6 linked regions of the Kluyveromyces lactis genome follow. The protein of the gene in region 1 binds, or shares a complex with, the protein of each later gene. Links are inferred from orthologs where the notes say so. Each region holds a gene or a part of one and is shown in the gene's direction. Other genes may lie near its edges. The genes, in order: EMC4, EMC10, EMC2, EMC1, EMC6 and EMC5.

What was found.
Region 2: EMC4 (region 1) and EMC10 share a complex: the UniProt entries of both Saccharomyces cerevisiae proteins name them as parts of the ER membrane protein complex. The link is inferred for Kluyveromyces lactis from reciprocal best matches to the Saccharomyces cerevisiae genes EMC4 and EMC10.
Region 3: the proteins of EMC4 (region 1) and EMC2 are in contact, whole or in part, in a cryo-EM structure (PDB 6WB9), measured with the Saccharomyces cerevisiae proteins. The link is inferred for Kluyveromyces lactis from reciprocal best matches to the Saccharomyces cerevisiae genes EMC4 and EMC2. Residues at the interface, in NP_011283.1 of Saccharomyces cerevisiae: Gln4, Glu5, Pro6, Tyr7, Trp9, Ala10, Lys11, His12, Leu13, Leu14, Thr16, Tyr18, Ile19, Glu20, Tyr22, Asn23, Ile24, Gln25, Ser27, Thr29, Leu30, Pro31, Ser32, Pro33, Pro34, Gly35, Phe36; in NP_012621.1 of Saccharomyces cerevisiae: Glu146, Leu149, Lys150, Val153, Thr156, Asp157, Trp166, Tyr173, Phe174, Glu175, Met176, Gly177, Gln178, Phe179, Glu180, Lys181, Tyr184, Cys185, Glu205, Tyr208, Tyr209, Leu212, Arg213, Leu241, Lys242, Ala245, Leu246, Ile249, Glu253, Lys280.
Region 4: the proteins of EMC4 (region 1) and EMC1 are in contact, whole or in part, in a cryo-EM structure (PDB 6WB9), measured with the Saccharomyces cerevisiae proteins. The link is inferred for Kluyveromyces lactis from reciprocal best matches to the Saccharomyces cerevisiae genes EMC4 and EMC1. Residues at the interface, in NP_011283.1 of Saccharomyces cerevisiae: Gly163, Ile165, Ala168, Lys169, Gly170, Asp171, Leu173, Glu176, Arg177, Ile178, Ala179, His180, Tyr181, Asn182, Asn183, Gly184, Leu185, Gln186, Trp187, Phe188, Ser189, Asp190; in NP_009884.1 of Saccharomyces cerevisiae: Ser381, Ile383, Arg384, Leu385, Asn386, Ser424, His425, Ile426, Phe427, Val428, Thr429, Glu430, His431, Tyr463, Lys465, Arg466, Leu471, Leu474, Gly475, Thr477, Asp480, Lys481, Val483, Tyr485, Leu488, Tyr489, Pro490, Asn491, Leu492, Thr512.
Region 5: EMC4 (region 1) and EMC6 share a complex: the UniProt entries of both Saccharomyces cerevisiae proteins name them as parts of the ER membrane protein complex. The link is inferred for Kluyveromyces lactis from reciprocal best matches to the Saccharomyces cerevisiae genes EMC4 and EMC6.
Region 6: EMC4 (region 1) and EMC5 share a complex: the UniProt entries of both Saccharomyces cerevisiae proteins name them as parts of the ER membrane protein complex. The link is inferred for Kluyveromyces lactis from reciprocal best matches to the Saccharomyces cerevisiae genes EMC4 and EMC5.

Annotation. Positions count from the first base shown.
Region 1 is NC_006037.1:99,167-102,212, reverse strand, and holds EMC4 (chaperone EMC4), read left to right. Parts: upstream 1-1,345; coding exon 1,346-1,954; downstream 1,955-3,046. Other genes in the region: IRC6 (Irc6p), read right to left, coding at 1-177; TAN1 (putative tRNA acetyltransferase), read right to left, coding at 1,992-2,921. UniProt on the Saccharomyces cerevisiae protein: Part of the endoplasmic reticulum membrane protein complex (EMC) that enables the energy-independent insertion into endoplasmic reticulum membranes of newly synthesized membrane proteins.
Region 2 is NC_006041.1:1,122,898-1,128,255, forward strand, and holds EMC10 (Emc10p), read left to right. Parts: upstream 1-1,495; coding exon 1,496-2,068; downstream 2,069-5,358. Other genes in the region: YOS9 (Yos9p), read right to left, coding at 1-1,223; hydroxyacyl-thioester dehydratase HTD2, read left to right, coding at 2,676-3,491; IPK1 (inositol pentakisphosphate 2-kinase), read right to left, coding at 3,500-4,300; DYS1 (deoxyhypusine synthase), read left to right, coding at 4,600-5,358. UniProt on the Saccharomyces cerevisiae protein: Part of the endoplasmic reticulum membrane protein complex (EMC) that enables the energy-independent insertion into endoplasmic reticulum membranes of newly synthesized membrane proteins.
Region 3 is NC_006041.1:552,977-558,563, forward strand, and holds EMC2 (Emc2p), read left to right. Parts: upstream 1-1,436; coding exon 1,437-2,297; downstream 2,298-5,587. Other genes in the region: TIF5 (translation initiation factor eIF5), read right to left, coding at 1-906; TIP41 (Tip41p), read right to left, coding at 2,451-3,662; ERV2 (flavin-linked sulfhydryl oxidase), read left to right, coding at 4,144-4,755; STE18 (Ste18p), read right to left, coding at 4,893-5,165. UniProt on the Saccharomyces cerevisiae protein: Part of the endoplasmic reticulum membrane protein complex (EMC) that enables the energy-independent insertion into endoplasmic reticulum membranes of newly synthesized membrane proteins.
Region 4 is NC_006039.1:77,923-84,623, reverse strand, and holds EMC1 (Emc1p), read left to right. Parts: upstream 1-2,798; coding exon 2,799-4,973; downstream 4,974-6,701. Other genes in the region: protein disulfide isomerase PDI1, read left to right, coding at 1-914; MGR1 (Mgr1p), read left to right, coding at 1,317-2,465; peptidylprolyl isomerase family protein FPR2, read left to right, coding at 5,264-5,686; URC2 (Urc2p), read right to left, coding at 5,851-6,701. UniProt on the Saccharomyces cerevisiae protein: Part of the endoplasmic reticulum membrane protein complex (EMC) that enables the energy-independent insertion into endoplasmic reticulum membranes of newly synthesized membrane proteins.
Region 5 is NC_006042.1:1,425,578-1,430,388, forward strand, and holds EMC6 (Emc6p), read left to right. Parts: upstream 1-2,830; coding exon 2,831-3,148; downstream 3,149-4,811. Other genes in the region: transcription factor IIF subunit TFG1, read left to right, coding at 1-1,074; HGH1 (Hgh1p), read right to left, coding at 1,260-2,420; mRNA-binding protein PUF3, read right to left, coding at 3,546-4,811. UniProt on the Saccharomyces cerevisiae protein: Part of the endoplasmic reticulum membrane protein complex (EMC) that enables the energy-independent insertion into endoplasmic reticulum membranes of newly synthesized membrane proteins.
Region 6 is NC_006042.1:2,569,510-2,574,365, reverse strand, and holds EMC5 (Emc5p), read left to right. Parts: upstream 1-2,311; coding exon 2,312-2,722; downstream 2,723-4,856. Other genes in the region: cohesin subunit IRR1, read left to right, coding at 1-1,951; anaphase promoting complex subunit CDC26, read right to left, coding at 2,870-3,211; KLLA0_F27709g (uncharacterized protein), read left to right, coding at 3,921-4,796. UniProt on the Saccharomyces cerevisiae protein: Part of the endoplasmic reticulum membrane protein complex (EMC) that enables the energy-independent insertion into endoplasmic reticulum membranes of newly synthesized membrane proteins.

The DNA of each region.
Region 1 (3,046 bases):
GTATGTATCGATGTATAGATCTAAAGTGGTCTCGTAGTACTTAGTCTTCCATTGCACATCTCGTGCAATAGATTCTGTTTCGTCATATTGCTTTTGGAATATAGTTGATATGAATGCTATGTGCTCCTGTATCTCCAAGGATTCGGGAAGCAGTATAAGGACTTTATGGTTATCCATCGCGAATACAATAAATTACTATGGCCAGTCACTCTCCAGGAAAAGAATCATTGTAAGAGAGCATGATCATCTTTTAGTGATTTACTTTTAGTTCCTAACGGCTTTGTCCTGGCGACAGAAGATATAATTTTGATGAAAATATTAATTGTGCTTTCCAGAGTCGTACCTGCATGTAGTCATGAGGCACATATAAACAGAAGAAAAGCTCCTATAAACATGCAAACAAGGAATTAAATGTGATGTGAGTATACCGTTACCTTTGAAACTCTTTGGACCTAAATTATTATTTGCCCAAAAATGCGCCATAATCACGTAGGCAGTGTTTGTCTGTCTTTAATTCCGTTTCTTAAAAAAAATGACAGAATTACCAACGAGCATAACTTTAACCACAACTTCCCCTCCTAGGATGATATTTTGCTCTTCAAGAGACTATGATGGTTTTGAAATTATCCTTGAGACATTGTATAATTGTGTTCAATATAAAAGACGTATGCAGTTCGAGGTTACTTCTTTTGAGACTTAGTAAAGTTTCTGCATAAGCCTTAAAAAGCATAGACAAATTGAATCAATTCTAAGCACACCGATGGAGAAGGAGATACAAATTAAAAATTACGAGTATCAATCTTCAATCCAGGAAGAACCTTTTCCAGGTCCAGCCGAGGCAGAATATACCGTGGAGAATGTTGATAATGTCGATGTGATTGACGAGCCTGACGATAACGATTTACAGAGTATTCTTTGGTGGAAAAAAACTGCCATAATTATTACCATATCATTTTTTCTACAGCTTTTTGGTGTCATATTGGCTTTGATTCTAATATGATGCTTACTCCTGTCTTGTGCAAGTTTAAAAATACGCTCAAATTCATTCACATCAGAATTCCAATTAGTTGAAATTATTTGTCGCACTGTATATTTTCCTTAACCCTTTTCATGTATATATATATATATATGTCAACCATTGTAACTTCAGACTTTTATTTTAATATTGTGAGTTAACAATAATCTAAATAATACTGAACTGCTCCTGTAACTGCTTCGAACGTGGCTGTTTTTTGTTTAATCACTTTATTCTCTTTCAAAACAGTGATTTTTTACTGACATTAATTAATGTTATTAAAAATAAGAAATCATGAATTGATAGTTTCAAATACGTAAGAATTCACCAATGGTAAAGATTTATGATTTCCTCAAGAGTGAAATTGGACTAATAGACAAGCTTCAAGAGGGAATTATGTCAGAAGATATCCCACAATGGGCGAAAGATTTGAAAGTTGACAAAGTGATGAGGCGAAATAGTGTCAATGGTGGTAAATTGCCGGATCCGTTTGGAATAAAGAAACTAGAGATCGAAGGACAGAAGCCCCCTAAGGTGATAGATCATGACGCTCAAAATCGTATAGCCAAACTCACTGCAGAACGGGCATGGCAGATATCTTCTGAGCCTCTCAAATCTGTTCCCATGAATATAATTATGTCATATATGTCTGGTAACAGCTTGCAAATTATTCCTATAATGACTGCTGTGATGTTGGTCTCAAATCCCATCAAAAGTATCTTAGGAGTTAAGTCAAAATTTCAACATTTAATCAACAAAGATAATGATGTAACCCCGCCTGTAGTTGCAGCCATGATTATGTACGTGATATACCAATTAATCCTCATGGGAATAGGTTTGCATAAGTTGAATTCAATGGGATTGTTCCCAACTACGTCAAGTGATTGGCTTGCTTGGCAACAACCAACGGAGTATTTATACCGTACGTTAAGTATTTAATTGAATGTAGCGAAATTAATACATTATACAAAAGGGTCTATTTGCTAGTATTGCTTTGGGTAGAAGCCGGGGCAGACTCTGCAGTAGTAGGAGTAGTTTCTTTATTTTTATGCTTCATTTCGAACAATTCCTGAACGTTATATTTCTTGTAATCAGTCCGATAATCTTTATCTACAACACACATTCCGATGTTGTTTTTAAAGCATTGCAACAGCACAAGCTTATCATAATTCTTCAAATCAACTTTATGTTCTAATGAACCTTGCTTTCCTACGAATCCAGCAATATATTTAATCATTTCCATTTTATCCATAGTACTAAAGTTTCGTTTGTTGATCTCTACTGCAAATTTTACTGGCACCATCTCCTCTTTGTGGAAGTGCTGTGGTAGTACTCGTTCACAAAGTTTTGCCAATTCTTCCATACTGGCATGACATGAATCGGTAATTGGTGTTAGTTTCTGCACAAATCTTGTTCTTTTCCTCAAGTCATGTGGATCGGCTAGATCTCTGATGATTCTATGAACAAACTTTTCTGGAACAATCGGTTTTCGGGTCTTCACAAAGACTAGACACTCAGTCTGAAGGTCGAGCTGCTCCAATATTGGTTTGTTTTTTTTGGTATCGACTATGGTAGTTTTATGGTTTTTTAGTCCTTCCAACTCTTGCTGAAGTTCCTCTTCAATTGAAATCTCTTTCTTCGACTCTGTTGTGACGGGTTCTTTACTTTCGATTTCGATGGATCCTGAGCCATCAGGAGAGGCCGAGTTCATGGCATTGAGCTCATCAGAATAGTACTCTTCTACCTTTTCTTCAAAAATAGAAAGAATTTCAGAGGCAGCGGCCTTCTCTTTGTTTCTTGCACACGTTATGTAGATTCCTGAAGTGTTAGGATCTAGAGTGCTTTTGACAACTTTATATCTCTTAACGATACCTCCTTTAGAATCTTTTCTGCTTCTTTTTGCCATCGTGAGTGATTGACTTCAGGTTGCTTCCGTACGTTGTTCACATTAGGTTAACTTAATGACTTTCCATATGATGCCCAGAGTATCTATTTTCTTTTGATATAAAATTTCAATGGCATTATGTGTTG
Region 2 (5,358 bases), on another chromosome or scaffold:
GGAACTAGACCAGTGCTTTTCTCGGGTAAAGAGTTGCTTGATGTCTCATCCGTTTGATTAACTGTCATTGAGTCAAAATATACCATGTTATGAATCGGCAATTCATTTAAAAGGGAGGCATCATTATTCACCTTCCCAATCGCTTCCGAGGCTGAATTCAATTCCAAGTCAATTAAAAATAGCAGATTTCCCGTTTCATCTACTACAGGCGCTCTCCATAGAAATAGATCACCAGGTTTGATCGATTTCCCGGTGGGTGATTGTATAAAGTCCGAACCAATCAATTTCTTAAGACTAGATATGAAGTCTCCAATAAACCTTTCTTCTACTGTGAGCTCAAAGAGGGTAGTTTGAGAATCCAGTGGTTCAGCAGCGTGATACATCAATTGACGCCTATCCTTCGCACTATTTTTAGGTTTTAATAGGTATATGCCATGATCAAGTACAGTAGCCGAATACCTGTTGAATATATCAAGGGCAGGACTCAATTTGCTGCCGCTTCTATGGCATATTATGTTGTGTTCAGATAATTGACCAAGCAACGGATTGAATGAGCTAAGTTCACATAACTGTGGTAGAAACAGTCTCAATTGGTACTTGCAGGATTGTATTTCTCTAACTTCAAGATGGAAAGGCCTCGATAGTGGACGTTTAGGGCAGATGTATTGTATTTCTACCTCTCTTGGTTTATGTGTAAGATCACAAGTGCAACCATCTACCAAAGTTTCGCTAAGATACACTCTACCAGTTTTACTCTTAGCAAAGTGATAATCAATAGTTGAGTTGTAGTTAGATGAGTTCCCTAAAAGGTACGTTTCGCCAAAATAACCTTTTTGCACAACAGTCCTCGTCTCACCAGAGGATATAATATAAGTCCAGTAAGAAATAGGCACTGTATTCATTTCAATAGGGTTTGGAGCCAAGATCGCATTAACCATGTTAACTGCTTCAATGAGAGCTCCTTCAGAATTAAAAGTATCTTCTTCATGATGTTGAATCAACGACGAAGTGTTCCTTTGGTAACACAAAACATCGGACCCTTCGTAGGGGCGGAAAAGCCGTCCTTCTTGGAGCAATGTCTCATTATCTATTACACTTAGGAACTCTTGCTCATCAACGTATTTTAGCGAATAAGGCGTAGAGCTATATGGATTGAATGCTGAGACACCTGAATAAATCCATGAGATAGCAAACACCACCGACGTAACTGGTAAAAATATCATATAAGGCGGCAGATACACTAGCTACAATCAACCTCTGACGAATTGACAACAATGCGCCAACAAATAATAGCTCCGTATATCATTTTTGTACTTTCCACTAAGTAAACTTAAACGTTTGTAATATAAGAATCCAATTAATCGAATTAATCCAATTTTAAACCTTAAACTGAATAAATGTAATAATAAAAAGGATGAATCTCACAGCATAGACTGGTGTTTCCATCATATAACACAGCGGAAAACTGGTTGGATTTATCTTCAAATAATTAGCTATGCTAAAAATGATTCAATTGTTACTAATACTTCTGTTTCACTTGCGTGCGGTAGTGGCATCTCTACAAGGTACTGGTGATCTTTACTTATTGAACAATTTGAATGAAAGGTACAGCCTGGCAACTTTCGAAGCTGGTGATGAGGTAGGTATTAACCTGGCTGTGACAGCCAATCGAATTACAGACGGTGAATATAAAGTTTGTGGGACTTTTCAAGATTATTACGATGAGTGTTTCTCTTTCATCCATATAAAGCAACCATTGTCATACGAACTGGAGCTGGTGGTACTTGATGATAAACTAGTTCGTATGTCGATTCATGCAGATGATAGTATTGATGGCATCGTACCACTGATAAAGGAGGTTGGAAATGGTCCCATACCGGAAAGTATCAAGTTGAAGAAAAGAACTCTGACTTACGAGGCAAAGAAAAAAGCTCAGAGAAAGGATACAGGGACCGCTGCATTTGAAGAAGATGTTGTAGAGAACAAAACGTTTCTTCAGAAAAACTGGAAGTACGTTGTCATAGGGCTACTCGCCTATGTCTTTTTATCCAGTGGATCACAGAAATAATTTCATGTTTTACCATCTTGCTACGTATATATACGTTCAAGAAGACAAAGAAATGACCAGACGACTGACTTTTATTGCTTGGATAGGATAGGAGTGGTTGAAACATTCAATTAACTCTACGAATACGAAATGTATTACAATTAGTGACATGGATTATTTTGATGAGCAATTTGCCTTGAGTTTATTAATTGAGTGCTCGATGGAAAGACTGAAGTGAAAGATTTACCAATGTTGGCTTTTTAAAAGGATCGAAACTAAGCAACTCCATTACTCACTTCTTATCAACAATCGATCATGCTTTTCTCATTTGCACTGTAACACTGTAGTTGCTGTTACGATAATTCACTTTGCACTTGACTTTCCAGTCAATTAGACTGCCAATCAGCTTCACGATATCATGCACAGTAGTGTTTACTACCAACTCGATAGAACTGTATCCCACTTCACATCTTATTTAATTTATTTACCTGTATATCGTCATAAACAAGTAATGAATGAATTTAAAACTGTTGGGCATTCAATCGTAAACCTCACATCAAACAGTATAGAAAAAAAAGGGAATCCTTAAAAGCCAACCATATCCACATAGCTGTTAGTTTTCGCGGCAATGCAGTGGCATATCAGTGATTACATCAATCCGGTGACGGTACAGAGGTATCAGACTTTGGTTACATCTATCTTGCCAAAAGCAAAAGTATCAAACGATATATCGCTTTCAGGTTCACATTTATTGTTCTTCCATCCAGTAACAGCTGCCCTCAGCGAAGACGGATACTACTCGTACCAGACTCCTGGTGCTATATTGAAACGTGAAGTGCCCTTTCGGCGTCGCATGTGGGTTCAGGGATCAATTGAGTTCAAGAAATCACTGACAGATGGCTGGTACAATTGTCAAGAAGAACTTAAATTCATCAAAGAACTGAACAAAGACCATTTCGTAGGGTTGAAGAGAACTATACGAGACGAAAAGGGGTACCTATATGTTAAAGAGTTAAGAACGTTGATATATACTAATCAAAAAGTCTCAGATAAAGTAATAACCAAGTCCGAAGATTACAGTACCCGAGAAATCATCAATTTGGAAGATATCGATGTCATGGTTTACAGTTCGATCAGTTCGAATCCTCATAGAATACATTGGGATAGGGACTATTCGCGCAACGTAGAGGGATACCGTGATGTTATAGTACAGGGCCCGTTTTTGGTTCAATTGGTGATCAACTATTTCGAACAATGTTTTGGAAGACAAGTCTCCAGCATAAAATACAAGAATACGTCTCATGTGTATGCTGGCACAGATCTTGAAATCTGTCACAATGGACTCGGGAAGGATGGTCAAATCAGTATAATATTGAGAGATCCTAAGGATTCACATAAGGTTTACTTTGAGTGTAAGATAGCTTCATGTATACATATAGAGTAAAAGTACAATCATTGGTGGTTGAAATGAGCCTTCTTCTTTCCTGGGAAAGATGCAAGAGCGGATTCAGTACTCTGCCAATGCCGCAGTTTGTTTGCTGGTTTTTGATCAACATCTATTATCGTAGCCTTGACGCTCCTTGTATTGCGGGACCAGGTCAAGAAACAGGTCACATCTCTTAGCGTCATTAGCGTTGACAAATCATCTTTCACAAAACGCTGAGCAGCATAGAGCCTCTGTGTAATACTGTCACTTGATTGGAGATACTGCAGAATGTCATCAAGAAATTCTTCTGGCACTTGGCGTCCTGCAAACAGCGTTTCGATAATCAGCTCCGGATCATGTAAAAAACAGTACTCAATATCTCTTCCCTTCAGCGAGTTATGTGTACAATTCCTACAATAATCACTAGATTGATACAACCACTTTGGCTTGAATTCCCAAGTAATAGCATCATTCAATGAGCATCGATAGATTTGATTGAAATGGTCCAACTGTTCACATGTACTATCCTTGGCATGCAATAAAGGCATGACTATGCATTGCATATGACTATCATCGATTAAGATATTCTCATCTTTCAACACATTAATCCATTTTGTATCGACAAACACCTCTTCTAACCTCATGGAAACAACCACATCGGCCAACATAGGAAGTGACCTGATCTTGGAATCGATAAACTGGAAGTTGTCCTGCACATATGCATTGTTCCTGGAAAGTTTCTGGTGCCTTAAGCTGATACGGTACACTTCACCAGAAAGGAGATAGCAAACATTAGCATTGCCTCTACCAACGAACAATAGAGTCATACCATAGTTTCACACAAAGAACCAAGGCAAACCCAAAAAGTAGGTCATGTGTTTAATCGTGGTGCAGCATCGTTTCTTTGACTTGTCATCTCGTCACCAGATTAGAGATTTATAAAACTAAAAGGCTTTACCTTTTAGGAATTTTTCACTTCTCACCGCATGAACTTTACAACTGTAAGAACAAGACGGTATTAACTCTGATCTATAACCTGATTCACCACATTATACTTAGGCGATTGGAGCTTCATTGTTCAGAAAGAAGTGCTCTACCAACTTACCTACTAACTTACAACGAAAAGATGTCCAACATTGACGGTAAATTACCTGACATCTTAAGCGATGCTGTGTTGAAGCAATCTGTTCCAGTGCCTGATAATTTTGTTAAGGTCGAAGGTATTGATTACAGCAAACCAGAATCACGCAACATGCGTTCTAAGGATTTAATTAAATCGATGGCTACTATGGGCTTCCAGGCGTCTTCTTTGGGAAAAGCCTGCGATATTATCGATGAGATGAGATCCTGGAGAGGTGAACATCGTGACAAGTTGGAAGAACATGACCGCAAGGGTTCTTTTGACAATGATGGGTACCAAAAGACTACTATCTTTATGGGTTACACTTCGAATTTGATTTCTTCTGGCTTGCGTGAGACTTTACGTTTCTTGGTTCAGAATAAGATGGTCGATGCCATTGTTGCAACTGCAGGCGGTGTTGAAGAAGATATCATCAAGTGTTTGGCTGACACTTACCTTGGTGAGTTTTCTTTACCTGGTAAAGGGTTACGTGACCAAGGTATGAACCGTATTGGTAATTTGCTGGTTCCTAACGACAACTATTGTAAGTTTGAAGAATGGATCGTTCCAATCTTGGACAAGATGCTTGAAGAACAAGAAAACTACGTCGAATCTCAGGGTAAAGACTGTTTGGATAGCAACTTCGATCAAGACTCTCCGGTATGGACTCCTTCCAAGTTGATCCGTAGGTTAGGTAAAGAGATCAACGATGAATCCAGTGTTCTATACTGGGCTTATAAGAACGATATCCCAATCTTTTGTCCT
Region 3 (5,587 bases), on another chromosome or scaffold:
ATGTTCAGAGATATCCGATACGATATCTTCATCGAAAAGAACTTGGGCCAGAACTGCAGCAACCTTTGGATCTTCCAGAAGCTCGAGTTCTGCAATCTTTTTGTATAATTCAATATCGGTAGGTAGTTCTTCTTCATGTAGTACCCATTCACCAAATTCTTCCAACTTGGAGAATTCGCCAGTTTCTTTGTCAGCTTCACCTTGTAATTCTTTCGCACGAGCTCTGATGGCTTCTTCAGACATATCAACGGCCCAGTCCTCATCCTTGACTTCAATGGTAGCCAAGTTAGAGGCAGCGGCATTAATTTGTCTGGCCAATTCATCATCATCGGAATCGTTTTCTTCGGCATCGTCACCAGCTTCAGCTTGGGATTTACCTTGAGCGATATCACTAATAGAAAGACCACCACCTCTGACATTAGCAGACGCAGTGGCAGCCTTCTTCTTTTTCTTGGAACCGTTCATACTGTCAGGAGGGTTCTTTAAGACGAACGAGGACAACTTATGTCTCAAATCCATAGGGGTTCTCTTACCACAAGCTTTACAGTCTCTAACCAAATCACCATCTTTAGTGATAACAATTTCAGTTTCAGGATTCTTACAGGATCCACAAAGGACAAACTTAGTGATGAAACCATCCAATACGTCCTGTAATTTGGCTGGTTGATGAGCACCATTGACAATGTAACGATCATTTTCAACATTGATAGCAGTTTGGGCACCCAATTCAAACCCGAAATATTTGATGATGTATGGAGCTGGTCTGTTTAAAGCACGGGCAACATCCATGGTATTCATAACAACAGTTTTGATACCATTACCTCTACCTTCAATCTTAGCCTGAATTGGAGGCATTTTATAACGGTAGAAAGGGTCATTGTTGTCTCTGCAAATATTGATTGACATCTTCGGCTACTGTTACTAATCTCTAGTCACTTGTTTCTGCTACCACCGTGTCTTTGACGTTCTTCAAGTCTGGAAAACACAAAAACTTTTAAAAGTAAGTTCGAACTGATCCTGTATTGGACTGTAAAACGGGGTCATTAACGCCTTCTTGAATCATGTATATGGAAGAAGTTCATCTCATCTCTTAGAAGTTCAACTTCAACTCTTCGCGTGTGGCAATCAGATACTGAGGCCTTGATTCCTGAAAAATTTTCGTCGTTTATGGTGATATGAAAATACATGTCGAAACGGAGCATGTGTCACGTGCTTTAGCTCCAACGATTCATTTGGCTCTGTGATTGTTTAAGCATCGGTTCTGTAAGAGACATATTACAGGGTATAACATGGGTGAGATACGTATGGTGGTGTTAAATGTTTGAATACCTTCAATACAATTACTGCTCGTGGAATTTAGTGAGTAATTTACTGTGTTGAAATTGTGCTCGAATCTCACATACATCTTAGGGTCGAAATCTAACTTTGTTCATATCATGGATTTACTTAAGAACAAATTACTGGCAATCCATAAGACTGGCGCATGGGCCATTCTGCCACCTAAAGAAATTGATTTGGCTTATAAGGAAACGAAACTTTTGATAGATGCTGGGTTAAATGGGCTTGACGAAATTAGTTATTTCTCAATGGTCGAATTATTGTTTTATCTTTGTCTTGTTCGTGGTGAAGACACAGAGGCTGAAACATTGTACAAAACTGTGACAGATCGTCTAGGTGACGATTCTCCAAGAATTCATGTGATGCACTCTATGTTAATACAGGTCACTCGATCCGATGATGCGGCTAAGAAATATATCGAGGATTTGATCAAGAATCAGCTGGAAATAGCTACTGATTCAGAAGACTACGTACAGATGAAGAAAAGGCTACTTGCGATAGAGAGACCTTCGATGAGTAAAGAAAAATGGGTAAAAGAACTACTGGATCTGGTTGAGAAGTTTCCTCTAGATGCAGAAATATGGTCGTTACTTTCGCAAGAATACCAGGAGGCTGGGGACCTACGTCAAGCAATATATTGCATGGAAGAAGTCATAATTGGGGTGCCGTTCAGTTATGAAGCATTTGGTCAATTAGCTTATTTGCATTACTTGAAGTCTCAATCAGATTCTGACCCTGAAGCTGCTTTGCAATCAAGTTTATCAAATGCGTTGAGATCTGTTGAGTTGGCAGAAGCCTACGTGAAAGGTTGGGGTATTGTATTGAAGACATCTCAGAAACTGAATAAAAAACCTGAATTAACTCAATTAGCTGTAAGAAAATTGCAAGAACTTCAGCAAAATAATGATAACAGAGAAATCACTAACGTATCCAGATACCTTTTGGATTCAGAAACTTGAATAGTGTGTATATAATATTATCACATGTATTACGAGATTTGTATATTATTCCTTTTGGGTAACATAATTAAATAGGTAGATTCATGAATGAGCAAATCAACTCTTTCTTGAATTTTCCAAAAGTGCTGTCAATTCGACAGTAGCGGTGAGTGCTTATTCGACAACTTCTTCTATATCTTCTTTTTTCCTCAATACTTCACATACGCGCTCCTTCAAAGGTAATACAGACGCAACCCAGTTGCTGTCTCTCAAAGATTTCTTAGGATCGTTTGAATTTAATCTACATTTATTCAATACTGTCTTGTAATCATCCTCCATATATTTCCATTCCCGTACAACAAGGTCCTCATTGAATTCGACATATATTCTTGTATCAATGATTTTAAACAAGACCTCATCGACTCTTAGGAAGAATCTGCATAATAAAAGAAGTCTCTCTGCCATTACCCTAAGTTTTATCGAAAGCATACTGATACCGTTGTCTGCCAATTCATCTTCAAATAGAATGAAATCATCATAGAATAAAATGGGATCTCTTCTTGTTAATTTTTCTATTGGAAGCTGATACTGGTTATCCACAACAAACTTGTATTCACTATCTTCTGACACAGTCCCATTGTATAAAGTCGTATAGGACCAATCCCAATGTTTTCCGAATTGTAATCCTTCCTCTGTGTTTGTCACTTGACTATTCTTAAGTTTGGAATTGATCCATTTCTCGGAATATGACACTCTTAACCCAGAATCCCCAAGTTTTACTTGACTAAGTGCATGGAACGGATTGAATCGTATGCACCAATGAGTCTTGGTGTTCTTCAATTCAACGCTGGAATGACCAAAAATCATTTCTGGGATTGGGAACTTCAATTTCTCAGTCCAATCGTCGATCTCATCACTAGAAAGAATAGGCCTCTTCGTCGTGGTGATAGTCCAATCACCTACACTTACAGATGGGTCATCTTTCGCTGGTATTGTGGCTACAGGGGATGGAACAATGACTGTACCGCAATGGCCACAATTTGGATTATTCGGATTATTCGATCTATGTGGGTGTGTATGAGTGTGCTTATGATCATGTTCGTGAGAGCGCTTGGAGCTCGGTTTGGGCATGCTAGTGGCTACTGTAACCGACTGTGTATCTTGGAAACTTGAGTTCGTGGTGGTACCACCGACAGTAGTATTGGTCGTGCGCATCATAGAACTTTGTATCTCGGTTTCTCTTGGCTGCTGCGGATTGCCGGGGTGACGCGCCCTTACCGTAGCCTGAAACATTTCACGAGCCTGGTTAACCTGTATCATAGGAATACCGCTCCCAAGAGATCTTCTGTTCCTGGCATTGTTCTGAGGCTGACTCTTATCACTCATTTTGGCATGTGTATTTCCCCTGATCGCTCAGATTCCTGTCGTATAATAAAACTAGTGAAATTAATCCCTATGCAAATTTTCTTGGCTATTAGCGTGAGAACAAAATGACGTTCAACGCTTGTAATCCAGTGGGAATATTAATTAGTTTGAAGTTTTATCAGGGGCTGAAACAATGATCGTAGTCCTTTTTGCAACGTTTCCTTTCCACCACAAATCTTCAATTAAGAGATGTCTTGCATGCTGGAATATTGATTCTTATAAATCTCAATATCAATAGAAAAAAGGTTACAGTCGAAAAATATTGGAAGATCGTAAAAGTAGTAAGGAATGTATTAATACGTGATTGACACCTTAGTGTAACAATATGGGAACAAAGTTATCTACCGAGGAGCCGTACATACACCTTACAGAGTTGTTATCCCTCTGCTATTCTCTATTATTTCTAAAAGCATACTTTCCTTGATCAGATTGAACAACGGATATGTCAATCAAGCTAAAGGTAGGACTGCATAAGCAGCGGATCGTTACAATAACTACGCTTCTAATGATAGGCTTGCTATGGTTTACATTTTCTAATAGCCAGCTACCTATTGAGGGGTCACCATCGTTGGGTGGTACCAAATCCGATCTGTTTGGAGGACTAAGTGCGAACGCGAAGAACGATGATGCATCAGGTACGATTATGCCGAAGATGCCTGATCAGGAGGCGAAAAAGGCTTTGGGGCGGGCTTCATGGAAATATTTCCACACTCTTTTAGCCAGATTTCCCGACGAGCCTACAGAGCAAGAGAAAACGAAACTACGTGAATTTCTTTACCTATATGCGGAGTTATATCCATGTGGCGAATGTTCTTACCATTTCGTCAAGATGTTGAAGAAATACCCACCACAAGTAGCCAGTAGAACCACTGCTGCTTTATGGGGCTGTCATATTCATAATCTAGTGAACGATCATCTTGAAAAACCAAGGTACGATTGTAACACAATCTTAGAAGATTACGACTGTGGATGCACTGACGAGAACGGTAATATCGATCCATCTTTGAAAATGAACAAAGTAACGTTGAACAAAGAGGAGAAACAATTGGGATGAAGTGAGGGAATCGTTTACCCTCCGTATGTGTCAATTGAAAGAATAAGATCTAATATTGTTGCATTCGCATTTCGTTTTATCTAAATATATATGTAACTAATAAGCATAGAGAGTATACGGCAGCAATATTTTTATCATCACATTATGGTACAACAGGCACTCGTTTCCTCGTGAGATCTAGCAAAATTGTTCTTCCTCATAGTATTATTATATGGGTTTTCACCAACCATTGGGTAACCCCATACTTCTGGAACAGCGTAATCCTTATGGGTTGAGGTATAGTCGATTATGGACAAACAAGCATTTGACGCAGTCATTCTTTCCCTTGCTAGCTCATTTCTTAATTTATTATTCAATTCTTCGATTCTTCTCAATTTCAATTCCTGGATCTTATATGGTAACTCTCCCATCAGTGGTACACAAATACAAACTCGAAAACTACACCAAGGAAGAGAGCTTATCTTTACTCACTCTTATCACTGCACCGAGTTTTTCTGCAAAACAGTTGTACCAAGCGTTAAAACTACCAATTACAAACCTTTATATACATAAAACCCTTGACTGAAACAACGTTTTCTTTTAGCAATCCTGTACTAAATTTCCCGCTGGCATGAGAACCTCCAGTATCTCAGTCAATATTTGTCTGGTTGTGGTTCATCTTGAAACCTCAAATCAGTATCTAATGAGGTTTTGGCCATAAAAAAAACTCATACTGACGCTGTCCAGCGCCTGGGAAAGGAGACCTTTTTTAGTCACGTGACTGTCGAACCCCGATCCAATCCCTTTTCTTTGCTTTCCCTGTATGAAATTCAGAGATAAAAGTGAAAACAAA
Region 4 (6,701 bases), on another chromosome or scaffold:
GGATTGCTGTTGAAGCATTCCCATACTTTGGTGATGTTAACGGTGAAACTTACCAAGCTTATATGGCTGTCAAGGTGCCTTTGGCATACTTCTTCTACACTTCCCCAGAAGAACGTGAAGAATACGAATCTCACTTTGTTGACTTGGCTAAGAAATTCAGAGGTAAGGTCAACTTTGCTGGTTTGGATGCTTCCAAATTCGGTAGACACGCCGAGAACTTGAACCAAAAGCAGCAATTCCCATTGTTTGCCATCCATGACACCATTAAGGACTTGAAGTACGGTTTGCCACAATTGGCTGATGAAGAATTCGCGGCTTTGGAAAAACCAATCACTTTAGCCACTGAAGAAATCACCAAGTTTGTTGAAGATTTCTTGGAAGGTAAGGCGGAACCTATTGTTAAAAGTGAAGAAATTCCAGAAATCCAAGAAAACTCTGTCTTTAAGATTGTTGGTAAAAACCATGAAGAAATTGTCCGTGATCCAAAGAAGGATGTTTTAGTTGAGTACTACGCTCCATGGTGTGGTCATTGTAAGAAGTTGGCACCAACTTATGAAAGCATGGCTGAATTTGCTCATGAAAATGACGAATTGAAAGATAAGGTCTTGATTGCCAAGATCGATGCTACTGCCAATGACGTTCAATCTGTCGAAATCCCAGGTTTCCCAGTCTTATACTTGTGGCCAGCCGGTGAAGAAACTGAACCAATTCTTTTCGAGGGACCAAGAACTGCCGAAGCTTTCCTAGCCTTCATCAAGGAAAACGGTTCTCACGGTGTTGATGGCCTTGCCCTTTACGAAGAATACTTAGTTGAAGTGGAGAAGAAGAAACAAGAAGAAGAAGAAGCACAAAAGGCGAAGGAAGTTGAAGAAGTGGCTGAAGAAGATTCTGAACTAGAGCAAGATGAATTGTAAATAAACCCATATCTCGTAACCCATTTTACTACCTCTTATTTGTAAAAGTTCTAACCTCGAACATCAACAAAAGTTGGTATCGATATTTTATACATATGTAGTATACCTTTGAATAATAGATTTATCCGGTATTGCATATACTTTATGAAAACCCTTCATGCTATTCTTCCTTCTCGGCGTCATGTGTTGCATATCGTCTCTAAATGGGTTTGAATTCATCTTTATTTCAAGCAATAAAATTTAATCACGTGACTTAACTCCGAAAAAGTATCACCAACTACGTTGCCAATCACATTTTCCAACCGGGACGAGGGCCAACATAAGACAACTCGAAGAGCACGTATCGGATTACTAAAGGTTCAAACAAAGTGAACAAGCAGCAAGGACAGAATTGCGAAGTAGATGGCTATATATACATCCGGAACTCAGTCAGATAATTCTGAGCCTGTTGGCAATGACCCCAAGTTTTATACAAGACCAAGTCTGGGATTGAAACTATGGGGACCATTAGTGCCTAGTTCGGATAACACAACAGGATTGTGGTCATTAGTTGCAATTCAAACAGGACTTGGGTTATTTCTAATGCAAAGGTTTAGAAAATTGGGAAAGAAATGGGTGAAACGAGATATTGCCGATTTTCCTAGTTTGAATAGATTCAGTACCACACACGGTGATATGTACATGACTAGACATATTCCTGTTCAATTCGGGGGAACACATTCTTTCAATATTCGAGTTGGTACACGTACCGGTTTTTGGTATTCAGAGAGATTTAGAACTATTAGACGTGTTACTTATTTATTAGCGGGGACTCTAATACTCTCGCAGTCTATGTTAGAGGTTTCAAGATTGACCCTTCTCAAATACGATCCCTGGGTAGAAGAAGCAAAATCAGTTCGTGAAAAGCAGTTTTTCAATGACATCGTCAAATACTATCACGAGGGAGTTGATTCAACGAAATTCAAGGCCAAGGATGAATTATCAGGACAGTCAATTTCCCTTAACTTACCAGAGGTGAAGCAAAGTATCGCCGTAGCGAGAGCACAAGCGCAGGCCGAGAATTTGGTAACTAAATGGTTCGGACCGTTGGATTATAAACCACAGTCATTCTCTGAATTCTTAGACAAACTAGAATACTACCTGAATATGACTGATTTTCTCAACAATCTCAGACGTCAAAAGAAGAACGATAAGATAAATTCTCAATTGGTAAAATTAGAAGAAGAAAACAAGCGCAATAGACAGAGAATACATACATTGATGGCTCATGCTCCGGCACGGGCTATCAGAACAAATCAAGAAGTGCAGGACATATATGCAATTAGAAAAGTTCTCTTGCATCATGATACAGAATCACCAAATGATATCCCACTAACTGAAATATGGGCTATTTACAATCCTTGGACAAATTTAGCATTAGACACCGCATTAAGCATTAAGTTCTTTCCTTCGGTCATTTTTAATGAAGACTATTATGAACACCAGAAAAGACTCAAAGATTCAGAGCATGTTACTTCCATAGAGAATAGCGAAGATGAGAGAAAGCCATAATTGAATATCATACACGTTTGTATTACACTAACAGAAAAAATAACTGACTCAATTCATGATTTCAAACTGTATATAAGAATCGTTGTACAAATTTAATCGATATATAGCTATATCGAGACTCTCATACTGCCTTTTTTTTGTTTCCTTGTTTGTGTTACGAAAGCTACGACATATTTCCCACTGTAGTAACCATTTTTTACTACGATTATTATTATTATTTCAAAGAAACCAACAATAGCCTTCGAATAAAATAAGCCTAAACTAGTGTCCAAGTAAAGAATTAGTTAAAGTTTATACACTGGACCTTCGATCTTGCCATAACGGAATCAAATCATGTTAACCCTTATATTTACGTTGTGGGTACTTCTGCTTAAATCCACAGGGGCTGTATTTAATGATGAAGCGTTTCACGTGGATTGGCAAATCGAAAACCTAGGTGATATCAAATGTATTGACAAATCAGACTCGTCATTCGTGGTCTTAGGGGAGACTCCCACTGGCATCCCTGTAATTTCACTTTTGGATGCGGCTTCAGGAAATATAGTTGAAAGGTTCGTTCAGGATGCCTCTGTTGCTGCCATGAAAGTTGTGGATGGAAATATACACTTGAATACTGGTCAAGTTTTGGATAGTTTGACAGGTTTCCCTAAGTCAACTCATTCAGGCCAAGTTGAATGTCGGAAACTAGACATTCAATCTGTTACCTTGAATAACAATACACTGCGTTTTAATATTTCCTCTTCAGAGGGGGATGTGGTAGTCAAAATTCCAGAGACCTTCAGAAAGATAGAATACTTTGGCCTGAGCAGTGATAGCACAGTAGCGGAAGTATTGATATCTACAACTAATAAAGAATATTATTACACTAGATACGAAAATCATTCCCTGACTGCCCACTGGGAAAGAAATGAGGGCTACTCTGATATTATCGCATATACTGTCCTTGATGAAACAAATCATAATTTAGACTTTGTTAGGGATGAACTGCTCCACGAACAGCAATTGAGCCTAATTGACGCATATAAGTTCCGTGTTCAAAGTAATTGGGAAAGACTAAAGTCGTATCTTATCCGTAAAAGATTTAATCTGGGCAGAATGTTTGCCGATTTGATAACTGAAGATGATTCTTCAGCACTGCGAGATCTAAACGTACGATTTGGTTTTGCAAAGCAGCTTGTCGTCGCTTCTAAGTCAGGAATTATAACATCTCTGGACATCATCTCTGGAAAGAAATTGTGGAGTCTGCAGTCAAATTTGAAGGACATTTTGAAATTGCGCCTGAGGAGTGAAAACGAGCTTTCGATTGTTACGCGTTCTAGTATTTATTCTGTTAATCTCTTAGAGCAACCGCTCGGATTGACACCCGAAAATAAGGCTCCCGACGGTTTTCAATTTGATGCGAACAGTGAATCACCTATTATCAAACTAGTTAATGTCAAAAACAGTTCTTTCAAGATATTCAACGCTTCCCACATTGGAAATACTAATATTAGTTTCGTCCATTTTGAAGAGCAGAAAGTAACAGGGTATGCCCTTCAGGGGGATGCCCTCTTACCGACCTATCAGAGAAACGTAGGGGGGAATGAACGTATTGTTGGTCATGCTGTCAGAGATAAAGGCCACGTTCCAGGTTTAGGTGCAATCCTAGGAAACAGAACTGTATTATACAAGTACCTCAATCCTAATATTGGAGGCTATTTGATGGGCAATTCTGTAGAGAATTCCTTGTTACTAGAAATATTTGACACGGTTACTGGCCAGACTCTTTACACTGTTAAGCATGAGGAGTTTGTGGACTTAACCTTGCCAGTAAACCTTGTGATAGGAGAACACTGGTGCATATACAGTTATTTCAGTTCAGCTCCAATACCGGAACAAAAGCTTGTAGTCGTTGAGTTTTACGAATCGCTGGTTCCTGATGAAAGGAGATCCCTTCCAGGGAGCTTAGTGAACCCGCTAGACGATATTGTGAAACCGGCAACGATTAGCAACGCATATTACTTCCCTCAGATCATACATTCACTTGCATTATCCAAAACTAAATTTGGAATTACTACGAAAGCTATACTTTTACAATTAGATGATGGGTCCATTACATATCTCCCCAAATATGTTGTCAACGCAAGAAGAAAACCAGAGTCTGATATGACAAAGAAAGACAAAGAGGAATTCATGGCTTCTGTTTATGAACCCACCATACCAATTAATGATTTTTCAGTGGTTAGTCATCTTAGACAGATTCTTCCTTCAGATAAATCGAAATTAATATCAGTTCCGACGAACTTGGAATCCACTAGTATAATATGCTCCATCGGTAATGACATCTTCTGCACAAGGGTTTCACCATCTTCTCAGTTTGACAAACTTGGAGCAAGCTTTGAAAAGAGTAAGGTTCTTTTCACCATTATGGGCTTATTCATCTTATGCTACATCCTCAGACCCATGGTGGACCAGCGCAAGTTGAAAGTGAAATGGTTGGTCAAAGACCTTGATATTACATCTATTTGAATACATGTATAATTCTAAAATATCTGAAAGTTGCATTTGCATCGCATTTTATATGTATTTAATCTTTTGTTTGTCACCTTCAAAAGTTAAAGGCAGACCCTATTTTCAATTAATCTTTTTATTGAATGGCTAATCTCACATATTATTTTTATATCTAAATAGAAAAGTGAATGTACTTCTTGATCCAATTATAACAATAGATCAGTCTTGGGTTGGGAAAGAAGCCATGAGCTTCGATTTTCTAAAAGTTCTACATCAAATAGATCACTATAATTGACTAAACTTTCGAAATGAAGTTCACTACTGGCCTTTCTGTTTTATTGTTCTTTGTATTGCAAGTTTTTGCAGAAAAGTTGACCGAATTAGTTGTTGGAGTGACCAAGGAGCCTGTTGATTGTAAGATCAAGGCATCTAAGGGTGATGTTGTCTCTGTGCACTACACTGGTAAATTGAGGGACTCTGGTGAGATTTTTGACTCATCGTATAATAGGGGAGTACCAATTCAATTTAAGTTGGGTTACAGTCAAGTTATTAGTGGATGGGATCAAGGTATTTTAGGAATGTGCATCGGTGAGGGCCGTACCTTACATATTCCAAGTGAATTAGGGTACGGTTCTCGTGGTGCTGGAAGCGTAATCCCACCAGATGCAGACTTAATTTTCGAAACCGAACTTGTTGATATTCAAAGAGAAGCTGTTGACGATGAGTTATAGTAACGGATGTAAGAATCCTATGACTGGTACCATTTACTCCTATTAGATATATCGTCTATGTTTCAAAGCTCATATTATCTTTAGTACTATTAATAAATATCTAATTAGATGCAAATTCGGAAAGACGCAGTTACTCCGAATAACTACTTCGATACAAATGTAGATCATATATCCGAAAACAGATGTTGTGCAGTCGGTTGCAAGTTTTCGAAAAAGTCCTGGAAGAAATCTTCGAAACTATTGAAACGGTTCACATCTGGAATGCTGAATGTTTGTGGTATCTCACTGGTTTGTTGAAGACCTTCAACTCTTGCAAATTCATTAGGCGAAGTTTTAGAATTTGATGAGTCCGGAGACGAAAACATTTTCTTTTTCCCAGTGTCTATTAGAGATTTGATTATTACTGCAACATTTTCTGTTGCCTCGTTACGTTTCTCTCCAATTGCATTTAGGTGCCAATAAATCTTCGTACATAAGTTCAAAGTCTGTTGTCTTTCCTTAGCGTTGAACTTATGTAGAAAATCGCATAAGGTTAAGCATGCATAAACCACTTGGTTTGTTGTTATTATTGGAGCTCCTTTTATCAGTGAAGGTGGTAGTTTCAAAAACCCATGTAGTAAGGATACGCAATATTGTTTCATTGTCAGTAGAATTGAATCCAGAAACTGGGTATTTTGTGCTAGTGTTTGCTGGTAAAACTCCATGATGAAACAACGACAAATCATAACGTAGAAAAAATCATAAGAAAACCAAAGTATACCACCATTATCTTTAGATAAGAGCTCTTCCCAGTTTTTCAACCAGTAATCAAGTTCTGGAAACACTAAGATAGCATCATCATTTCTGTCTCTGTTGCCGCCCTGCTTGAAAATATTGAAAAAGCTCCAAAAATAATTTTTAAAGTTCAAGAAGATACCATTGACAACATCGCTAAGATTTATTTCACTTAGCTTAATGTCATCTCGAAAATTAGACTGTGGAAACTTAGCTATAAGGTTGTTAAGTTCTTTGATAA
Region 5 (4,811 bases), on another chromosome or scaffold:
TGGGTAGGTTCATACGAAGCAGGTAACTCAGACTCATATGTCCTTTTAAGTGTTGAAGACGACGGGAGCTTTACTATGATTCCTGCGGATAAAGTCTACCGTTTCACTGCAAGAAATAAATATAACACATTGACCATTGAAGAAGCCGAGAAAAGGATGGAGAAGAACAAAGAAGGTGCTCCTCGTTGGTTTATGAAGCATTTGGACGAGTCCAGTAAAACAACCACAAGATATGATAGAACCTTAAGAAGACTTAGAGCTGTCGATGGGAACACAAGACAGGCCGAAGATGATGAGGACCGTGGAGATAACTCAGAGGTCGAATTGGATTACGATGAAGAATTTGCGGATGATGAAGAAGCACCAATCATAGACGGTAATGAAGAAGAGAATAAGGAATCGGAACAAAGGATCAAGAAAGAAATGTTACAAGCTAATGCTTTGGGATTACGTGACGATGATGGGGAAGAGTCAGATGACGAACTATTTGGAGAGAAAAAAATTGACGAAGAAGGTGAAAAAGTCAAGAAAGCCCTCCTTAAAACAGATCTGGGTGCTTTATATGAATCTGATGCAGAAGAGAACCCATATCTATCACACTCTGAGGAAGATGAAGAGCAAGCTGATTCGGATAAGAAAGATTCCGAGAAGGATAATGAAAAGCAAAGTCGGAGATCCTCACCAAAGAAGAAAGCTTCTGACACACCATCAGGTCCACCAAAATTAGTAGTAAAAAGCATTAATCAAAATATCGTTGTACTAACTGGTGAGAAATCAGTATTATCGAACTTCCCTGCAGGAGCCTGGAATCCAAACTTGAAGAAACGTCCAGCAGAGTCTCAGCCACAAGAATCTATGGACAATAAGAGGGCAAAGTCTGATCACTCGGCAGATGATTTGTTAACGGAAGACGATATAATCAATGCAATTGAGGGCAAGCAGTTGACTTTGAAACAATTAATCAGACAATTGAAAGAAAAGGTCGGTAGACATCCTGACAATAAAGAAAGAATGAAGGTTTTTGTCAAGAAACTTGTTAAACTGAACGGTAAATTCCTCGAATTGAGTAAGTAGTTAACATAATTTCCTCGTTTTCAAACCTCTGGAGATATACATGTAGTGATAATTGATATATATCACCTGGGTCCAATTGGAAGGGGCAGGAAATAGCATATTGATATAGTCAGTTTATTAACAATAAGTACGCTTAAAATAAATATATGTTATTTGAAAACAAGATATCTATAGGAAGTTATCATTTATAAAACTTCGACGATAGCATCGTCATCATCGTCGGACTCTTCTTCTTCTTCTTCTTCTTCTATCTCGGCTATTTCGCCATCTTCCGCAGATTTGGCCACGATTTCTTCTATCACTTGATTCTCCGGCTCACCTCTCATCAACATGTTAACAATTCTATGAGATAATTCACCGATATCGTCATTTCCAATATTTTTATGTAACTCTCTGACCAATGGGTATACTGATTTCGATCTTAAGTATTCTCTGCCGGCTTTAGTGGTACAAAGCAATAAAATACTTTCTAAATGCACACATATGATTTCAGGAATAGGATCTCTCTCTTTGTCGGCAGGTAAGAGTTGCAATTCATCCGGTAGATTGAACATATCTTCTTCATCAATTTCGGAGTCTTTAGCTGATGCAATCGGTAGAAGAATATAAGGTAAAAGATTGATTTCCTCATTAGTCAAAAGGTTTTCATGCTTTTCGGAATCAAATAACGAATTCTTGATGGTATAAGCCACACCTTCTCTTCTGGTTTTAGCATCATACTTTTCAGTGAATACCAATAGTTTAGAAATTGGGATGACGCCGTCATACTCCTGCTGTTCAATGAAATACTCTCTACCAATCTTAAATCTCGAAATGTCGGCAAAGAAATAAGCTAAGTAGTCATAAGTGGCATATCTGTTCAACTTTCTATCGTAACCCTTCACAAAACAATCCATTAAGCAATCCATTACTTTGTTGCTTTTAAAGACTTCTATGTTTAATGGAATACCATCGTCTTCCTTCTTAACAAACGAAAACAATTCGGTAATATTGTCTTCCTTGGCGAGATTAGACAATAAAATACACATGATATCCGCACTTGCGTTAGCTAAATCACAGATTTTCCACGATAAGTACTGTAGGAATTCAGTATCCTTGACGATCAACTTTCTCATAGTAACATCATCACATAAATTCGCTAAAATCGTAGTGGATTGTTGAACGATAACTTTTGACTTATCTTTAGCTAGAACTTTTAGATCCTCTATAGCTTTGTAATTATTACATTTGAAAATGACAGCACTTGCTCCAGTTGAGAAGCCAACCAGATTATCAAGAGCAATCTGTCTGACGGCAGGCTGGTCTGAATGCAAAAATGACACTAATTCTTCTAATTCCGTGGACATCTTCCCTCTTTATCGTATCAAGTAAACGCAGATATTTCGAACAAAGATGTTTTATTGAACAATGAAAGTTATAGTTGATTAGCTGGTGAACAATACCTAGTTACACCAACTGCCAACGTAGATATGGTTGATGCGATGAGCTGCGATGAGTTTGTCAAACGTTTCTCAAGTTTCGTGAAAGAAAAGGTTCGACTCTTTAAGGCGGGTAACAATTACATCAGCATCAAACCGACAATAACAGATCTCCATCTTCAATTAAATGAATAGAACCACCGTTAGAAACAGAGCTTTTCAATCTGCGATTCGATTGATCCTTAAGTGCTGCATTTATCATAATAAATCACTTTTATTCTAGTCTTGGCTTATTGCAACCAATTGCAATCATAACTACGAGATAACAGCATTGGAAAATGAGTTATCGCTTCACCGACCTAAAGTCTTCCAAAAGTGGAAGTTTCAACAACAACAAACTACTACGGATACAGGATTCTACAATGCTGACAGCAGGACTTAGTGCTGGGATATTGCAACTTCAATCTTTTGCAGGTTTTGGAATGTTTTTTGCTGTTTATATCCTGGTGAACCTCATATTTATAGCGTGGTTTTGCAAATTCAAGCCTAGTCTATATTTTACTAATCCAGTGCATAAAATATGGGTTAAAAATCTATTCCGCGAGCTAGCTGGGTTTGTCATGACTTGGACGTTAGCGTTCACTTTGGTCAGGTAACGCATATGACACATTTTGCATTAACGGGTTGATTTCATCTGAACGATATCACCATTAGGATTCTAGAAGTACTATAATATTATGGTCATTAAAACTTATAGCAGAGATAAATATTTGCATGTATTATAAACAGGATGATGATAAACAATATGTACATTTAAAGGATATTAATTTATTAGGTAGTAATCTGTTCTCAACAACAGATTTTAGAAGATATTAAGATCTTCGTGAGAGATATCACGGGGATACAAAACGTAAGAAATGGCAATCTTCATCAATAGAATGATTTAGAAAGTGAACCAGTTATTAGGGAAAGAAAGCGTGGTTATCAAATGCAAATATTCGAGGCAGAACAATTTTTTTTGTCTTGCTTTCCCAAGTTGAGGCTGACATACATCTATATCTGAATTTTTTCCACCAAAGTTGCTAACTTTTCAACACTAGCCAAATGCCTGTTACCCAAAGTGTTATTTTTATTGGATTTATCCAAATAGGATCTGATGGAAATAACAATCAACCTCTCATCTTCACCAGTTGCGACACCCACGAGCTTTTGAACAACGTAGTTCGCGTATTGATCCCGCATCATTAGAATCAATGGTGCATTATCTTCCAAATCAGCGGCGTGCTCTTCGTCTCTTGGTAGAATTTGATCCAAAATCTGTCTTATCTGGTTTTTGGATCCGTAAACTACTGACTTTTCAACAACATTGGAGGCAAATTTGTGTTTTGAATATTCAACAACATTCTTACGAATGATATCGATGATATTTTGTTTACTCATTCCTATGTGACTGCTCGTATCTTCAGTTCCATGCTGTAAAATATGCTGAATTACGTAGTTACCGTATTGATCCTGGATCAAGAATGGGATGAATTCATCCAAGTCATTCAAAATATCATCTTGGTCCTTTAGAGTTCCAAATTCCAATAGTCTTTGAACTACACGGCAACCGTAAGAATGCGTTGATAAATGATAGATTTGTCCTCTTAAACTTTGGAGAATAAATGGTAATTTTTCAATCGGAATACACTCGATGGCTTTTTGTATAACATGGTTACCATTCTGGTCTTTGATCATAGCTAAAACACAATGGGAAAGTTCAGATACGAGATCAACCTTTTGATCTTCATTTAGGAATTCAAATGCCTTTTGTATAACACGGCAAGCATACATTTCTAACGACAAGTTCTCCATTTTGCCTCTGAATTGATCCACTAATACCTCCCTTTGTGTTTTTGTACCATGTTCAAAGAATTTTTGAATGACATAGTTACCGAACACGTCATGAGATAATGGTATACATTGGTCTCTAATCTCATTGAAGATTACTTCCTTATCAGCATCAGAAGCTGTTGCCAATTCCTGTTGGATAAATCTGGAACCATGTTGATCTTTACAGAACTCTAAAGCGGAGCCGTAAATATCGCTAAGTTTGTAAACTTTATTGGAAGAATTGTTCCTGAATTCCTCCAATAATGGGGATCTAACGATAGGCTGTTTGTTATTCTGGCGAGCATTTTTACCTTGGCGACCCTGTTTGTTTGCACCTGAACCTGAAGAACTTTGCAAAGTGTTTGGGGGCACTGCCATACCTGCCCTACTTGGTGGCGGAGAGAATTGTGAATATTGAGCCTTACCTGCGTGCAGGTATGGATTTGA
Region 6 (4,856 bases), on another chromosome or scaffold:
AATAGCTGGCAGAGACATCGATATTCAAGTAAGATTAACCTCAGTTCAAGTACTTTCGTCGATTAATGGGTTGGGTTATCTGGATGACCATGAAATAATAGACATCATTAGCTTGATCTTTTTTGATCATGAAGTAAAAGTATCTTCTTCGTCAAGGGACGTTAAATTCTTGAACGAGGTTACCAAATTCTTGGCAAACATTGTTTCTGAAAAAACGGAAGAGTTTCTAATAAACAATGAAAGGTTTAAGGTTCCGGTAATTTCGGTAACGGAAGAGCAGTTTGTTAAGGTGGGTGTGTTAATGAGATTATTACACAATTCATTGTTAAATCATATCAACTCCACTAGTAATTTAGAAGGTTATGCAAAAGTACCACCGGACAAAATCAAACTCTTACAGCAAGCGGCGGAATTTTTATCCCCCAAGTTTTACAACTTAATTGAAACTATATCAAAACTACTCTATGAAGAGGGAAATTTCGATGGCAGCACAATTCATGCTGATGCAGATGATTTTTCCAATGATCTGGGTGATATCAAATTGTTCCTACCAGAAACTGATAACAATGTCCTATTTTATGCCACTGTGTTGGGCGGCTTATGCACAGGCGGCATACAGTACAACAAAGGCCAGGACAGACAAGCCGTGACACAGTTAATTCTTCCAGAGTTAGAAGATCTTTTCAAGAAAATGAATCTTGATTCTGATCAGATATATACTCAACTACTAAATGTAATACAGCTATTAAACACAGAAGAATGGAATTCCAGTGAATCAAAGGATGTCATTTTTAATATCAATAAAACAATAACAAAACGATTTGAAAGCTCTCCAGTGGTTTTGAGCAACGCAAATGCCATTACTAAAACCTATAAGAGTTTAATTCCATATTTGGCATCCCTTCAAATACCAGAGGTAACTGGTTATTGGAAGTCATGTCTGATTAACGTGACATTATCATTCAAGAAGTTTATGGAATCATTTGACATAAAATCTGATAATTCAATAACAACATTATATCTGCAATATGTTAACAAACTTGTAATTTTGGGTAAGGAGTTCGCAATTGAAATTTCAGAAACGCTTTTGGATGACATTGTTGAAAAATTCTTGAAGCCGTTGAGTGAATTACTACCAAAGATTGATTCGGATGCCATATCTGTCCTAGATTTTAAGCTTTTCACCTCAATAGTTACTTGGAATTTAGCAACTTGGAGAGATGTTATCAAAAATAATGAAGAACCTATAGCTGTTTCACATACTACGCTGAATCAAATTAGAACGGTATTAGTCGAATTGCTGAATCTTTCTTCAAAGATCGATTCTAACCCTGAAATACAACACGACAAGAAATTCCATGTGCTTCATGTAATACTCTCTCCATTGTTAGATATTATCATTGCATTCAAAATGTTTGAGCTCGATTTGTCAGAAAAGGATTCCGATTGGATAAGGGCGTTAAGGCAAGAATATTCAGTTATCTCTAACGAAGATCTAACTGGTATTTGCCACAAAGTTTTCCTCTACCTTGAGAGTTGTCTTGGAAAATTTTTGGGAATAACTCTAGATCGAGTGGCTGATGAAGATGTAAATTATGGCGCTGTCAACTTAGTCGATGTTGATGGAGATCCAGAGAAGGAGCTTTGTATCTATACCATTAAATTGAAAGGCCTCATCAAACTTGGAATTCTAAACTATAGCGATTTAACTACAAGAATTGGGTTAAACCAAGAGAAATTAGGGCCATTATTTGAGAGTGTAGTAAGCGAAACGGTTTTCGAAGATGAACCGAAAAATAACGCTGAGAGCCATCCTGCAGCCAAATTAAACCAAGAACCAGTACCCCAACAATATGATGAAGTTCTTGAACCAATTGAGGAATTCACTCAGGATGAAACAGTTCATTCGCCTCCGCACCCTGCAGACCCCATTGTTTCATCACCAATCTAATCTTATTGGGGATCCTACGAAATGAAATTCCTGCGAGTGCATTTAAATCAGTTTATTTTTTTTTTTGGTGAATTGTGTTAAACATAATACATAAAACCTATTACATGGCTATCGATAACCTAAGCTCTCCTCAATCATGCGGCTGTGTGTCAGTACTGCATGCTATCTCTCTTTTTTACCTAGATAGTTTCTCTTGTCGGAAACTCTATAACACTCAGAAAAAAAAAAAAACGGAAAGGTTATTCAAGAATACCAAACAAAATATAGGTAGTATAAGGTTCAACTGGACAGATCTAACATAAATAGGCTTTGTTACTTTACTTAAATACTACTATTCACCGTTTTATCTTGGAATCAACAATGTCAATACTTTCCAAATCATTCTACTTTATAGCGTGGATACAGATTATTCATTCTGGTGTGTCCAGCTATGAATTTCATCAGATTGTGAAACATATCATTCTAGAGAACCCAGACGCTAAAACTCCAGGTTTACCAGATGACGTAAAATTGGAGGCACTATGCGGGTTATTATTCTTTATTTTGGGTACATTTATCAGTCAATCCAAGCTTAAGTACCTTAGTATTCGTGGGGAGGAACGAATAATTGAGACAGATGAGTATCTTAAACCTATCGAATTGAACAAGGCGTCCAGTACAGATGTAGTGATAAACAATGATCCTTATGGGGAAATAAACTACCTTCCTTCATTTGTTGACATCCATGCTAAGAGGAAACTGTTCAAAGAATACCTTCATCGCAGTTTGTGAGTTGATAAAGATTGGTAACTTAAACGCATACATATATATAATATGTACTGGGGAATTACATAATATAATGACTTTGCAATAATAACTAACGGGAGTAGATACAGGGCCGATAGCCAATATAGGCACTTCACCAATCACATTAGGACGTCAGTTATCATTGTGATTGTACGTGTAAAAGGGATTTGGAGGATCCTGTGTACTCTGTGTACTATTTTGTTCAATGAATCGAGGATCTGATGATGCAGACTGTTTATATCGCTGAGGTGGCGTCATCTTATGCAATGAGTGTGATAAAATATCATTCCGTGTCGCACTTGGGTTAGAAATGCCTTCTATCTCTGCTAATCTACTCATTTTTGCAGATGATTTCAAAAGATCTTGATGTTGCGTCTGTATCTCGCGTTGGAGCTTGTACTCTTCTAAATGTTCTTGTAGCTCGGAAATATCATCGGAAGTCAAGGATAAAACTGTAGGATCACGCCTTAGCATAATGGTTGGTATTTATGCCGATTCTATGTTATAATTCTACGTTATGCTATATAAATTGACATCTTAAGAAACTTGACTGCTTTTGTGTTATTAAATTCGGTTGATGAAATATGATGCGAAAGGAAAAGCAAAACCTTCACATACTATTACAAATGAACGTATCTAACACAATATGACGCACATGCAACTCTAAGATCTCTTACTCGATACAACATTTTACCAAATCACTTAAAGAAGGAAGGAAGGAAGGAATGAGCATATATGATCACACTTGGACAATGTAGTTGACCATACGGCGAGTCAGAATCTACAAATTTACATAGCCTTGTTGGCGCAATCGGTAGCGCGTGTGACTCTTAATCACAAGGTTGGGGGTTCGAGCCCCCCACAGGGCTTTCCATTTTTGTCTATTTTATGAATGAATCCTAGATTTTTAAACTTCTTTTTTTTTATGTCTGTAATTTACAGACAATTTCAATGCAATTCAAATTTGAAAACTTATACGCATAACGATCAATTCTTATGGCATAGAGAAACTTAAACAGCTCAGAGTAGCCTGCTTCTCTTGTATATAATAACCAGCCCAATCATCTCTTTGCAGGTTTGATTTTTCACAGTTGAAACCATAGTACGACCTCTTAGACACAAGATTTTTTTATCCAAGTTTCAAATTTGAACTTCGCAGTACCGGTTTACTAATTGATAAAAAATGTCATCCAGTATGAATGGTGGAGACCACAACTACGAAGATAAGCATGCGGGGAATTTTCCAACTTGCCGTATTTGTATGCTGGAAGGAACGTCCGATAATCCGTTGTTCCATCCATGCAAGTGCAAAGGCTCCATCAAATATATTCATCAATTATGTTTGATCGAATGGCTACAGTCAAAACATGTCGATGTTACAAAACCTGGTGCAGGGATGGTATGTTCGATTTGTAATCATCCAATCGCGTTCCAAACTTTGTATGATGAATCAATGCCAGAGAAGATCCCACTTCTACTTCTTCTGAAACATAGCGTTTTCAAAATCTTTGGCAAATTAAATCACTATTTCAAATTCACATTGATTGCGTTCCTTTTCTTCATTGGAATTCCCCTGTCCTGGAATATCTGGGGGAAGCTATATACGGCTACTGTGGATGATTTTTCATTTCCTTCAAATAACAAATGGTATATCAATTTGATTTATGGCTTTGAAAGAAACATACCAAAAAATCCAACAACTACGGATATTTTATATCAACTAGTGATAAATTACAGATTTTCGTTGTTACAAATTCTGATGGTTTTGATCGTGCATGCTATCGCATATTTACAATATGATATGGTAGTCAGAGAGCCAATTTTCAATAAGATGATCTTGCATAAGATTGGACCAAGATTTTCAAAACAAGAGCTGGCCATGCAGTCATTAAGAGAAAGATTTCCAAATATGGATCCAAATGATATAAGCATGCTCATAAATGCCCTCAATAGACAACGACAAGACGATCCAAATGAAGATGATACTTCAGAAGACGAACAAGAACAGAACAATTTCATCGTAAACGAAAATAATGATGAGCCTCAGCTTGCCAACTAACTATAATCCCCCATTTAAATATTTACGATATTGATAATCTTCATATTGAAACATTGCATC